2 linked regions of the Saccharomyces cerevisiae S288C genome follow. The gene in region 1 interacts genetically with each later gene. Each region holds a gene or a part of one and is shown on either strand. Other genes may lie near its edges. The genes, in order: TRM3 and ROM1.

Region 1 (7,028 bases):
TCCCTTTCTTTAGAAAATTTAGGTAGCTGGTCATTTTTGATGACTTTTGAAATGACCTCCAAATCATTCTCAGTAACTTCCAATGATTCAGACAGTTGTTCAATTTCTTTCTTCAAATTGATACTTGCGGTATGCGGATCTGTTTCTTGATACTTCACAGAATCTTTTACCATTGATGCCAATTTGTTAAATCCATTGAATAGTTTGCCACCATATGATTTCCCACCGCTACCTGTATTATTATTAGGGCGTTCCAGATTAATAGTATGACTTTTAGACATTTCGTTGTCAATTATTTTGTCAACATCCTTATATTCATTGTTTTGCGCTTCCAGCTTCTCCAACTGTGCTCTTTTGGAATTCAGAGACTTTTTAATCATTTCATTTTGCAGGTATTTCAATTTTCTGTATTTGATCAATTCTCTTGCAGAAGTTGCCATATGAACAGATTCATTTAAAGGCTCATTTATATTGTAGTATAGTCTTCCAACTAATTTTTCTAAAGAAATCGAGGACCCCGAAAAGGCATTGCTTAAGTAAGAAAGCTGTTCGGCCAATTCCCCAACTTGAGCCTGTTCATGGGCAAACTGTGCAAATACCTCACCGATTTCATTGTAATCCGATTTCAAATCGTGATAAGTCTTCGTGGTTCGTCTATTATACTTATAAATCCCGTTATCTAACAAGTTCTCATATTGCTTGTAATCCTGTTCAATATTAGTAAACGACTTACTTCTTTCCTTATCCATTTTTTTGTCGTTGGACTCCTTATTCAACAATAACTGTGACGAGGAGCCCGGTATTGGTAACATGGCATGAATTCTAGTGGTGTTAGTGGGATCTAGTGGATTACACTGGAGGATGCTCTTCGGTAAAGATGAAAAAGTGGACGAACTGTTAACAAATTCATGCCAATTATGGTTATTAGGATCCAAAAAATCGGTAATTATAGATGTTTTTGTGATTTCTTCGTTCGTCAAAAGTTTGTTCAAGAACTCAGTGAGCATTCTTATCCTATGCCGTATTAACTTTTCATCACTATTATTGACCGACGCATGTATCACAGACAATGATAGATCTACTGAACCAGAACCTTCTGAGGGCAGCAAATACTTTGAACTCGAACCAGTTATTGACTTACCATAATTCTTTATTGACTGCTTTTCTGGAATCGGCGGTATCAACGTCATAGGAAACAATCTTATCAAGATACTTCTCAAACTCTCGAAATCGCTGTAACGTCTCTGAACGGTAGAATTTTCAAACTGAATAACATAGGCGATGTAGGCTCTTCCTTGACCTTCGGAAACTCTTTTCGCTTCAAGTATGTGTATCCTAGCGGACTTCTTTCTATTACTTACAGAAGGTTCTTCTGACGCAGAGGTCTCTCCGTTCATGGAGTTAATACTTCCACTAAGACTTGTTCTACATGTTTCTGCATTCGATTCTTGGTTTAAAGGCAATAATCCCTCAGAGTCATCCTCGTAATCTTCATTCGGGTTCTTTAGGTTATGGCTTCTCATACCGGGTATTTCTAATAAAGCTGATTTTGTGAATCCTGTTGGCCCCTCCTCCATGAATGGGTTGTCTTTTTCTAACAGGGCTGTGTGTACTAACTCAGTTTCTACTTTGTTATTGTCCCCCTTTCCAACCTTACCCTTTTTTGGGCTCTTTTTTGGCGATCCAACTCCATTCTTAGAAATTTCTGCCTCTGCCACATACTCAGTTGTCCCATGAGGTGGTTCAGCCTTTCCTGTATTCCGAGTTTCCGAATTCAATTTAGCATTTTCTTGGACATCATTTAAGTCTGACATTGTGTGCTGTAGAAGACAACTTTTCTAGATGGTATGTTCAATTGCACCACCAGTATTCGAGCTAGTCATCTCTTCATTTTGGAGATGACTTGCTGTAAATCGATAAATATTGGCTTACTCAATAGCCATATCTTAAAGGGGGCACAATGGGTGAGTTGTCGGGTAAGGGAATGTAGATCACGTGAATGAAAATTCAAGTGTTTTTCGAAAAGTTTCACCATGGCGATGAGCAAGATTGAAACAGCACTATTGTAACTATATAATTGCTAGTAAGCAAATAAGCCAAGCCTTATTAAAATCCGGTGAAAAGAATTGTTTAACGAACGTTACAAACTCTATACCTTTTTTTTACCAGCAAAATGGTTGGAGGTGCTCTCATCTGCAAATATTTACCACGCGAAGAGCAACTAAAGCTTATATCAGACTTGATTCAGAATGACAGCTTAGAAGAGGTGCTGGAGTTGATTGAAACTTCGCCACTGGATATAACGACGGACAGCAACATTGAAACACCAATCTTTGAAAAAATTACTGAGCAGGTCATTGCGTATGCTAGTATAGACGGTGAAGCCAGGGAAATGTTTCGCTCTTCGAGGGCTGAAATGAACAAGGCGCTAAGAACTTCTGCACAATTACTATGTTGTTTACCCAGTGTATGGCATAAATTTCAGGTGTGGATGAGCTACCGGTTAAATGACATCATTAGCGAAAACTATAAACATCTCTTCAATGACAACTTTGGAAAAAAGATTGTACAACCATTTTTCGATTCTTTTGCTGAGGAACAAAACGCTAATATCAAGCATGAAAATCTGCACTTAGATATCCTTAGCCTGCTTCACTACTTAGAAGTTGTATATTTATTTGACGAATGTAAGAATGGTATATCGTCCAAATGCCTAGATTTTATCATTGTTCCATTGTTAGGCTGTAATTCGGAAGAGATTGCTGATTCCTGCTCCAAGTTAATGAGATGGCATATCAAATATTTATCGAAATGCTGCAATACCGATAGTAACTTTGATAAGCTCATTTGGACATTTATCAAACAATTGTACGCTGAAGGCTCCCAACAAGCTTGGAAGCAAAAGAACAGTTTATCTTTTCTCCTAAGATTCCTTTTAGCAGCAGAGTTGTCTCCTGAACTTATTACTTATATAAAGACCGATGCTTATTGGAGGCACATTCAAACAGAGCTGGATAATGATGTGCACGAACACAGAAAATTGGCACTCTCAATTCTTAAATTAACAATTCAAAAACTGTCATCTCATGGTATAACATTGCAAACAACATTTTATAAATGCAATGATCTAGCAAATATCGAGATGCTGGGTAGCTGGAAGAAATTCACCACCTTATATGAAATGATTGCTCTGGACACATCATTGAATCAAATACAAGCGGCCAAACAAGATATAATAAAAATTTTTGATAACGAGCATTTACACCATAGTTGGGGCCTTATCTTGCTTTCTACGGGATTGAAATCATCAATGGAGAGTGTCAGAAAATACATGATGACGTTAATGTTCTCGATTACAAATATGTCAGCATTCTCTTCAAACTTGCCATTATTGACAAAAACTCTTCTTCCAGCTGCAATGTCCGCTCATTATTTTGATGTAAAAGGTGTCAGTTGTCCCCATGGTGAAAAACTTTCATTATTTGTCAATAACTTACTTTCCCAAACAACAGAAGGCATATCAGATATATTATTTGAAATTTTGAAATTATTGGTGGAAAAAGGGACCTCTTTTGACCCTTCTAGGATATACTTGTCCTACGGTATCTTAGTTTTCTTCCAGAATAACAAACAGAAAACAATCAACTCTGACCATTTGAGTCTGATCAGGAAATTGTACGATTTTGCAGCCGAAGAAGAGGTTCTCGAAACTACAATCCAAACAATTTACTTGAAGTTCTTACTGTACATTGATCCATCTGTCTCCGCATCTGAATTATTGTTTACATTAGTTTCACACATTAAGTTAAAGGGAGGGACATACAAATATGTTGAGCCTCTTTTTGAAGATTATAGGGATCTTGCCGTTTCTCACTTTGACGATTTGCAAGCGAAAGAAAACTTGACGACAAACATCGGAAAGGATACTATTTTTGACCTCTTAGCATCTATCATCTTCGATTTCAAGGATATTGATATTACTCCCGATTTTTTAATTGAAGTTGCGAAGTCGAAGCAAGATATACCCGTTTACACTTCAAAGGCAGTTACTTTTCTAACTCAGCTACTTTCAGGCGAACCTTCGAACGGTTATACCTATGAAAATGCAACCGCTTTGTTGTCTTACCCAAATTTTACAATATCTACATGGAAATCCATCAATGTGAATAATTTATTTAAGTCGGTAATGGAAAAATTTTCGCTTGATAAATTCAAGTTCTTTGCTGAAATTTACCAGAAGACTTATGAATGTAGGTTCGATACAATCGAGCTAAATTTTAATGACCTTCTGAGCCTATATGAAATGGTTAAAAAGTCTGCCAATCAGTGTTCAAGAGAGAGCTTTAAAGTGAAGGACAGCGCTTATTCTTCTTACTTTGAACTTTTAAATACCTTCCTGAAAACATACGCCTTAAATCGTGACTCTTCTGAAGGAAATGATGATGAGCTTCACATACTACTACGCTTAGTTGACGAGAATATTAACAAAGATAATGGGAATTATCTGGGGAACCTGGCAGTCTGTAAATTATTGTACTTTATCATAGATTCCTACATCCATTGCTCCACATCTGTTTCTGATGATGATATTTTCATAGTGAAATTCATTTTTGAGAAATTTTCGTTTATATGGGAATGTATTAATAGTGAAAGATTAGTTTTGAAGGAAAGGGATCTGCATTTGATGCTAATTAAGGGATTATTTCATCCTGTGATCCTGTACTTTGGATCAAATCAGTATATCGATACTTTGACCTCGAAGTTGGAGGAACATGCACAAACGATTATATCATTGAGTTATTCCAGAAGAAGCCTACTCCCTCTTCTCGGATCACAACTCAGAGTATTTATGAAGTTTTATGGGAAATTGTTAAGAGAAGATGTCAACTATTGGTGGTTGATTAACATTATAGTAGGTGTTTTCAAACAGCCGCAAATGGATGTCAACCTTTACAAGCTCAAACCTGTTATTTCCAGCCTATTTGACCACAAACTGAACAATTATTACATAAAAGGCGATGAACTTTATGAAAAGGTGTACGGACCCGACGAAATATTGGCTAGAGTATCTATTATTGATTCTATTTTATATGCAAATGATCAGTTGAAAATTCGATTAATCGAAAAAGTTACTGAAAAAACAAACGCACTTTATGCTATAAAGAGAACCGACGGTGCCGAAGCGTTACAGAGGTTGTTGCAGTGGCAATTGTTATTATTATCACTACTAACCACCAATGAAAAAAAATTAAGCGAAACTAGCATGATCAGAATTCTAAAGAGTATCGAGGATGAAAGTTCACCACTAGTAAGAGTATATAAAGAATGGTTCATTTCCTCAAAGGTTGTTGATTATTATAAAACTGGCAATCCAAAATTTGCTGAGGATTATCTCTTCTCATTGCTGGAGGATCATAGCAAACCGGTGTTTGTAGTTAGCGCAGAAAAAATATGCTTTATGGTGTTGAAAGATTTAAGAAACGACGAAAAGAAATATGGATTTACACAGTTACTAGACAGATTCATTTGCACGTTAGTTCCTAACGCAGCTTCAAACAAACCTCTGGTAAGGCATTTTTCTAATTCTCTAATAATTTCATTATGGCCTACATTCAAAGCCTACCTATCGGATCACACACTGAGAAACATCATTGAGAACTTATATTCCAATGCCAAAAAGACTCAAATATTTGGTCAATATCGTGCCGGGGATGCCAACATATGGGATCTGAAGGGTGATAGGAAATTAACGAACATGTTTGGTGGTGTGCTCAAAAAAGTTACCGACCATGATTGCCCGTACATTTCTGAGTCTGTTTTCGAAAAATATTTGCAGGAGAAAGATATTGTTCCTATAGGTACCGATGAAAGGTCCTTATGGCTTGATAAAAGAGACACCAATACGGAATCTGTTAACAACGCGAACATCTCCTGTGACACTTCTCCACTGCAAACAAAAAGTGGAGCTTGGGAAACCGTTCTGGATCTGGACAATAAAAAATCGAATGATGTCGTTACACGTTCTGAATTGATTGTGGTATCTTCATTAGTTGATAAGCCGCCAAACCTGGGAGGTATTTGTAGGTTATGTGATGTTTTAGGTGTGGGACTGCTTACTGTACAAGACATCAAAGTCAAAAACCATCCTCAATTTAAAAATGTTGCTGTGACTGCTGATAGATGGATGCCCATGGAGGAAGTTGCCCTAGATGAGATTGCAAGTTTCATGAAAGAGAAAAAGAAGGAAGGGTACACATTAATTGGGCTAGAGCAAACGGATAAATCAGTGAAGCTAGACAACAATTTCCAATTCCCTAAAAAATCATTGATCTTGCTAGGAACCGAAGCATTCGGTATTCCGGGGACTTTGTTAAGCGAATTGGATTTATGTTTAGAGATTCAACAATTTGGTGTGATCAGATCAATGAATATTCAAACGGCAACCGCAGTTATCGTTCATTCCTATACAGTTCAACACATGTAAGAATCAGGTTTCATTCCCACTTTTGTTAACCATGAAGTTTTTAGTATGTAAACTAATTTGTCTTTTTATCTAATTGTGACTATATTTTTATAAATTCTCCAGTGATCGTACTACGTCGGGGGCGTATTTCTCCACCATTGCAAGACCTTGCTTCAACAAATGAGGTTTAAAGCTTTTAACGTTTGAATCATTCAATGCTACTGATCTGATAGGTGATGTAATCTTACCATTAGACCAGGAAATGATTAGGCCATTATTGGCCACTTCGCTTTCGTTGGCTGCAGGGTCCAATAGCATATTGTTGCCTACAACGGCCAATATAAACACTAAAGGCGGATTAATGTCAAGCTTAACCATGTCGTAATCATGAAACGTAGGAAGTTCTTCCACCTCTAAGTCGTCAAAAGCTGAAATAAGTTTCGGTAGGTATGTGGAGTTCAACGCTGAATAAATAGCAAAGGATATTAAAGAAACTGGGTGTGAATGTGATGAAATGACCAGAACATCGACAAATATTTTGAAGCTGTACTTTTTTGTCAATTGC
Region 2 (6,107 bases), on another chromosome or scaffold:
AATTTGTGCATGACACGGATTAGGTTGTCTTGCAGACAGCAGTCTTGAGTTATTTGTTTGAGGTTATCTGGAATTGTAAAGGGACAATCGACGTCAAGTTTGTCCGTCAGCGGGCCGAAGTCCGCTAGATGAGTAATTTTCATGACGGCTATTTCATCATCATAAATTTGTGCGCTGCTGTCCTTCATTGCGTAATATTGGATTAGCGCCATTTCTATCCTATCCAAACGAATGTTCTTTTCGAAGGGGAAAATCTTAATCTTCACGGGGGTTGTGCTACCAATAGGAACAGCCCTACTCGGGATGGACGTTTCGTATTGCAACTTGTCACGCCAAGTATTACCCACGCTAATTTCTTCTTGCATGGCAAGATTGTCCATCGATAATGTACGAAGGATTCTGAGATACTTGAACTTTTTGATGATAATTTTATTCTTCGTTCTCATACCATTGCCGCTCGTACTTGTGCTACCGATTGGACCGTGAGGAGAAGTATGAACGCTCAGATCAGTATCCCATAACTGACGTCCATCTATAATGGCTTCAAAGGAATACAGTATGCTACCACTTTGTAGTCCCTCGATTGTTTCGCACACTTCTGGGGGGAGCATTGTATTGAAGGGTAGTTCGTAGTTGCCTCTTTTCATTAGGAATAAGTACGAACTTCCAGACCCGTCTCTGTTACTATAACTATGGCTATTGTTATTGAGGGTGTTACTACTACTGCTTCTACTACGGGCGTTTTCTCTTAAACCCTCGAAAGGGGTTCCTGTAACACCATTTTCTGGTAGCTCTAGTATTTTTCTGTGGGAAGAATGGGTCTTTCTTCGAATTATTTTGTTGAAAACAGGGCTCGAAAGTGATCTCTTGCTTAGAAATATTGCGTTGCCGCTGGTGTCCATATCTTGGTTGCTTGTACTGCGACCGCTACTACTGTTATGTTGATTTTCCGCATTTTCCCCACCGACTAAAACATCCCCTTTTGAAGAAACCAATAAGTTGTCCCAATAGCATTCGAAAATCTTACGCTTTTCCTTAACTAGACTTGCCAAACTACTGCTATTCTTCTTATATCGGCCAACTTGCAAAAACTCCAATTTGAATCTTCCTACCAATCTCAGCGAAATTTTCTTCACTACGATCTCATTTTTCACTGAAATCACTAAGTTTCCTGATAAAGGTATAGACGACAGTTCCAACGGTGACCCTTGGATCAAAATTATGTCCTTGTACGGGGAGTTTATTCTAATATCAAAATAACTTATTCTCTCTCTTTCCTTCTGCTCTGAATGCCCACCGCTGCTAGATAGCGAACTAAGTGAAAACATGGTCTTGCTTCACCCTATTCTCGCCGAGAGCTGTACAAGATATTTTTTACTTTTGCCATCTTATACTCATCCTAATCATCTGTTTCATTTTCCTTCTATTTCTTTTTTTTTTTTTTTTTTTTTTTTTTTTTTCAGTTTTCGAAGAAACTGCCTTTTTAGAATTGTAAAAGACGAAGTGAAGTATTCAGGAGTATATTATTACATACATACAAAGCAAGACAAAGAAACATTTTTAGATCTAACATTTTACTTCAATTGTTTTTGTATTCCTTATAATAAGAAAGACCTGCTGTTTAATGTGGGAGTAATCCGTCCCCTACTCGATCTTCAATAAATTGTCATCTTGTATCTAAAGGAGCGCTCCAGTACTCCAATTAAGCACCACCTAGTGCGTCTAGTGTCGATTTTTTTTTCACGCATACGTTTGTATGTTTCTTAAATTTCCCATGATTTTTTGTTGCCAATGTCATATCTACAAACTCTATACGAAAGTAAACGCACTTCATCTTTTTTGCCCTAAAACGGCAATATTTAGACATATCATAAGGGGCCCAAGGGAGAATCGTTAATTTTAAACTTTTCTTTGCTCTTGAATGAAAAAGTAAATAAATAAAACTAAATCAAAAAAAAGAACGCCACGTTTGAATTTTAAAGCAAAAATTTTGTTGATTTAGTAATGATATAAATAAAACCAAGTCGTTGGTAAGAATTTGGTTAGGTTATGAATAGTAATGAACTGGATCTAAGAAATAAATATTTTTATGAGATATTCGGTAAGAAAAGAAAATCAGATACTTCAACCCCTACTCAGTTGTTCTCCGGCTCCAAAGTTCAGACAAACATCAATGAAATTTCTATCACTAACGATGAGGATGAAGATAGTACTGAAGATGAAAATAAGGCTTCATTGAAGGATTATACACTAGGGCACGACACCGGTGCACGGTATAGGATAGCACCGGACTGTTCTTCCCACCAATTAAAGGCATCTCCTGTCCTACATATTTCAACAAACCTTAATTCAAGTCCACAATCCTTCACAGGCGATCAGATTTCACCTACTAATAAAAAAATTTCAATAAATGATTCGACCAGACAAGATAAAGGTAACAGTTGCACTACCACTTCATCACCTTCTCAAAAAAGATCGAATGTTTTGCTTCCTCACGTAAGAAAACATTCATCTCCTTCACTATTATCATTTTCCAAAAACAGTGGCAGTCATATGGGGGATCCAAACCAGCTATCTACGCCTCCAACTCCCAAAAGTGCAGGTCACACGATGGAGTTACACAGTTCATTCAATGGAAAACATAGTTCTTCTAGCACCTCTTCTTTATTTGCATTAGAGTCACTGAAAACCCAAAATAGACGCTCATCAAACTCTTCCAATCATTCTAGTCAATATCGACGCCATACTAATCAACACCAACGTCATCATTCAAGGTCCAAATCAAGTCCTGTCTCTCTGACGGAAATATCCATGATCAAAGGCACGCCTTTGGTTTATCCTGCACTTTTATCACTAATAGCAATTAAATTCAAACAGACCATCAAATTGAGCACGCATAAAAAGATGGGGTTACTTTACAGAGATTCCTTTACAGGAAAACAAGCAATTGATACTTTATGCTTGATCATAGGAAGCTTAGATCGTAATTTGGGCATGTTGATCGGAAAATCGCTGGAAGCTCAAAAATTGTTCCATGACGTACTTTATGACCATGGCGTAAGAGATTCTGTACTGGAGATTTACGAGTTATCTTCAGAATCAATTTTTATGGCACATCAGTCGCAGAGTTCTACTTCAATTGCCAACACATTTTCTTCATCATCTTCTTCAGTTAATTCGCTCCGTACTAAAACTGAAATATATGGTGTTTTTGTCCCATTGACACATTGTTATTCCTCTACATGCTCTCTGGAAAAACTTTGCTACTCTATTTCTTGCCCCAATCGTTTGCAACAACAGGCTAATTTACATTTAAAATTAGGTGGTGGTCTTAAGAGAAATATTTCGTTAGCACTCGATAAGGAGGATGATGAACGAATTTCCTGGACAAATTCTGTACCAAAGAGCGTATGGGAATCATTATCCAAACAACAAATCAAAAGGCAGGAGGCAATATATGAGTTGTTTACTACAGAAAAGAAGTTTGTAAAATCTTTGGAAATCATCCGAGATACTTTCATGAAGAAATTATTAGAAACGAATATTATTCCATCTGATGTAAGGATAAATTTTGTAAAGCACGTTTTCGCACATATCAATGAAATATATTCTGTCAATAGAGAATTTTTGAAGGCTTTAGCACAAAGGCAATCATTAAGCCCAATTTGTCCTGGAATTGCAGATATATTTTTGCAGTATCTTCCTTTCTTTGATCCTTTTCTGTCATACATAGCATCAAGACCATACGCAAAGTATCTAATTGAAACCCAAAGATCAGTTAATCCCAATTTTGCTCGTTTTGACGATGAAGTGTCTAATTCTTCCCTGAGGCATGGGATCGATTCATTCCTATCTCAGGGTGTTTCAAGACCTGGTAGATATTCACTGTTGGTAAGAGAAATAATACACTTCTCGGACCCAGTAACAGACAAAGATGATCTACAAATGCTAATGAAAGTCCAAGATCTTTTAAAGGATCTAATGAAAAGGATTGATAGAGCAAGCGGTGCAGCACAAGATCGTTATGACGTTAAAGTGTTAAAGCAGAAAATTCTATTCAAAAATGAATACGTTAATCTGGGTTTGAATAACGAAAAAAGGAAAATCAAGCATGAAGGTTTACTCTCAAGGAAGGACGTGAACAAAACAGATGCGTCCTTTTCAGGAGACATTCAATTTTACCTACTCGACAATATGCTATTATTCTTGAAATCAAAAGCTGTAAACAAGTGGCACCAACACACTGTATTTCAGAGACCAATTCCACTCCCTTTACTGTTTATTTGTCCGGCTGAGGATATGCCACCCATAAAAAGATATGTGACAGAAAACCCAAATTGCTCAGCGGGTGTGCTCTTACCCCAATATCAAACGAGCAATCCCAAGAATGCTATTGTATTCGCCTATTACGGTACGAAACAACAATATCAAGTTACTTTGTACGCGCCGCAGCCGGCCGGATTACAGACATTAATAGAAAAGGTGAAACAAGAGCAAAAAAGGCTCCTTGATGAAACTAAACATATTACTTTTAAGCAAATGGTAGGTCAATTCTTTCACTCATACATAAATACTAATCGCGTCAACGATGTCCTAATCTGTCATGCTGGTAAAATTTTATTGGTTGCAACAAATATGGGACTCTTTGTTCTTAATTATGCTACATCGATCAATCAAAAACCAGTGCACCTTCTGCACAAAATATCAATTTCACAGATCTCTGTATTGGAAGAATATAAAGTTATGATTCTTCTAATTGACAAAAAACTGTACGGCTGTCCTTTAGACGTAATCGACGATGCAGAAAATGCAGATTTTCTTTTCAGAAAAAATTCTAAAGTGTTATTTAAATATGTTGCAATGTTCAAAGACGGTTTCTGTAATGGTAAAAGAATCATTATGATTGCACATCATTTTTTGCACGCCGTACAATTATTGATTGTTAATCCTTTGATATTTGATTTTAATAGCGGTAATTTTAAAAAAAACCTAAAGGCAGGCTTGGTAGATTTTAGCGTTGATTCTGAACCTCTGTCCTTTTCTTTTTTGGAGAATAAGATCTGCATTGGTTGTAAAAAAAATATCAAAATATTAAACGTACCGGAAGTGTGTGATAAAAATGGATTTAAAATGAGGGAGCTTTTAAATCTACATGATAACAAAGTTTTAGCGAACATGTATAAAGAGACGTTCAAAGTAGTTTCCATGTTTCCGATAAAAAATTCAACTTTTGCATGTTTTCCAGAACTCTGCTTTTTTCTCAATAAGCAAGGGAAGAGGGAGGAGACAAAGGGATGTTTTCATTGGGAGGGGGAACCAGAACAGTTCGCGTGTTCCTACCCTTATATTGTGGCAATTAATAGTAACTTTATTGAAATTAGACATATAGAAAATGGAGAACTTGTCCGCTGTGTACTTGGAAACAAGATACGTATGTTAAAATCATATGCCAAGAAGATCTTATATTGTTATGAGGATCCTCAAGGATTTGAAATTATCGAACTGTTAAATTTTTGAGTTGACCGCCCATATTAATACCTTAAAACTTATTTCTTGAACCTATACATCTAAATTTAAGTAATATTATTTTATTTGTATAACCATATGTAGTTTACCTGAAATATATGGGTGCCATTAAGAAAATATAATACAATGGACAAGAATTTTGTCCTAGAAAATAAAGTCTTGAAAGTATATTGTCCTTTCCTTTGGAATATTATGTCACTAGCAAGCATCGAAAATTGATCCAGAGTGAAAATTAATTTTTTCGAGATTAAACTGTGAATTCAAAAGTTTGATTTTAATTGTTTCCTCACTCAACTTGGTACTGAAGTCTTGATTAGCTGTTAGAGAAGATAATTCTGACCGTATTGAAGATGTCGAATTTACTGAAAGCAACTGAAGTAAAATATCGATTACTTCAATCTTGTTTTTACTGCTTATGTAATTATTCCAAATTGAATCCGAGATAGGAATATGAATATCAAATGTCTCTTCCATGGGATTTAGGCACCATTCCCCCGAGTTAGAGTCGTTTTCCTCAGATAACTCATGTTTTGTAAAGTGAGATCCATCGAAGCTAATATCATTATCATTTAAGTAGTCAT

What was found.
Region 2: mutations in TRM3 (region 1) and ROM1 together harm fitness more than expected from each alone (negative genetic interaction), as found in Saccharomyces cerevisiae (2 studies listed by BioGRID).

The regions. Positions count from the first base shown.
Region 1 is NC_001136.10:256,742-263,769, forward strand, and holds TRM3 (tRNA (guanosine(18)-2'-O)-methyltransferase), read left to right. Parts: upstream 1-2,173; coding exon 2,174-6,484; downstream 6,485-7,028. Other genes in the region: ATG20 (Atg20p), read right to left, coding at 1-1,814; exosome non-catalytic core subunit RRP42, read right to left, coding at 6,572-7,028. UniProt on the Saccharomyces cerevisiae protein: S-adenosyl-L-methionine-dependent 2'-O-ribose methyltransferase that catalyzes the formation of 2'-O-methylguanosine at position 18 (Gm18) in various tRNAs.
Region 2 is NC_001139.9:625,757-631,863, forward strand, and holds ROM1 (Rho family guanine nucleotide exchange factor ROM1), read left to right. Parts: upstream 1-2,049; coding exon 2,050-5,517; downstream 5,518-6,107. Other genes in the region: ART5 (Art5p), read right to left, coding at 1-1,328; ENV11 (Env11p), read right to left, coding at 5,725-6,107. UniProt on the Saccharomyces cerevisiae protein: Stimulates the exchange of RHO1 GDP-bound form into GTP-bound form.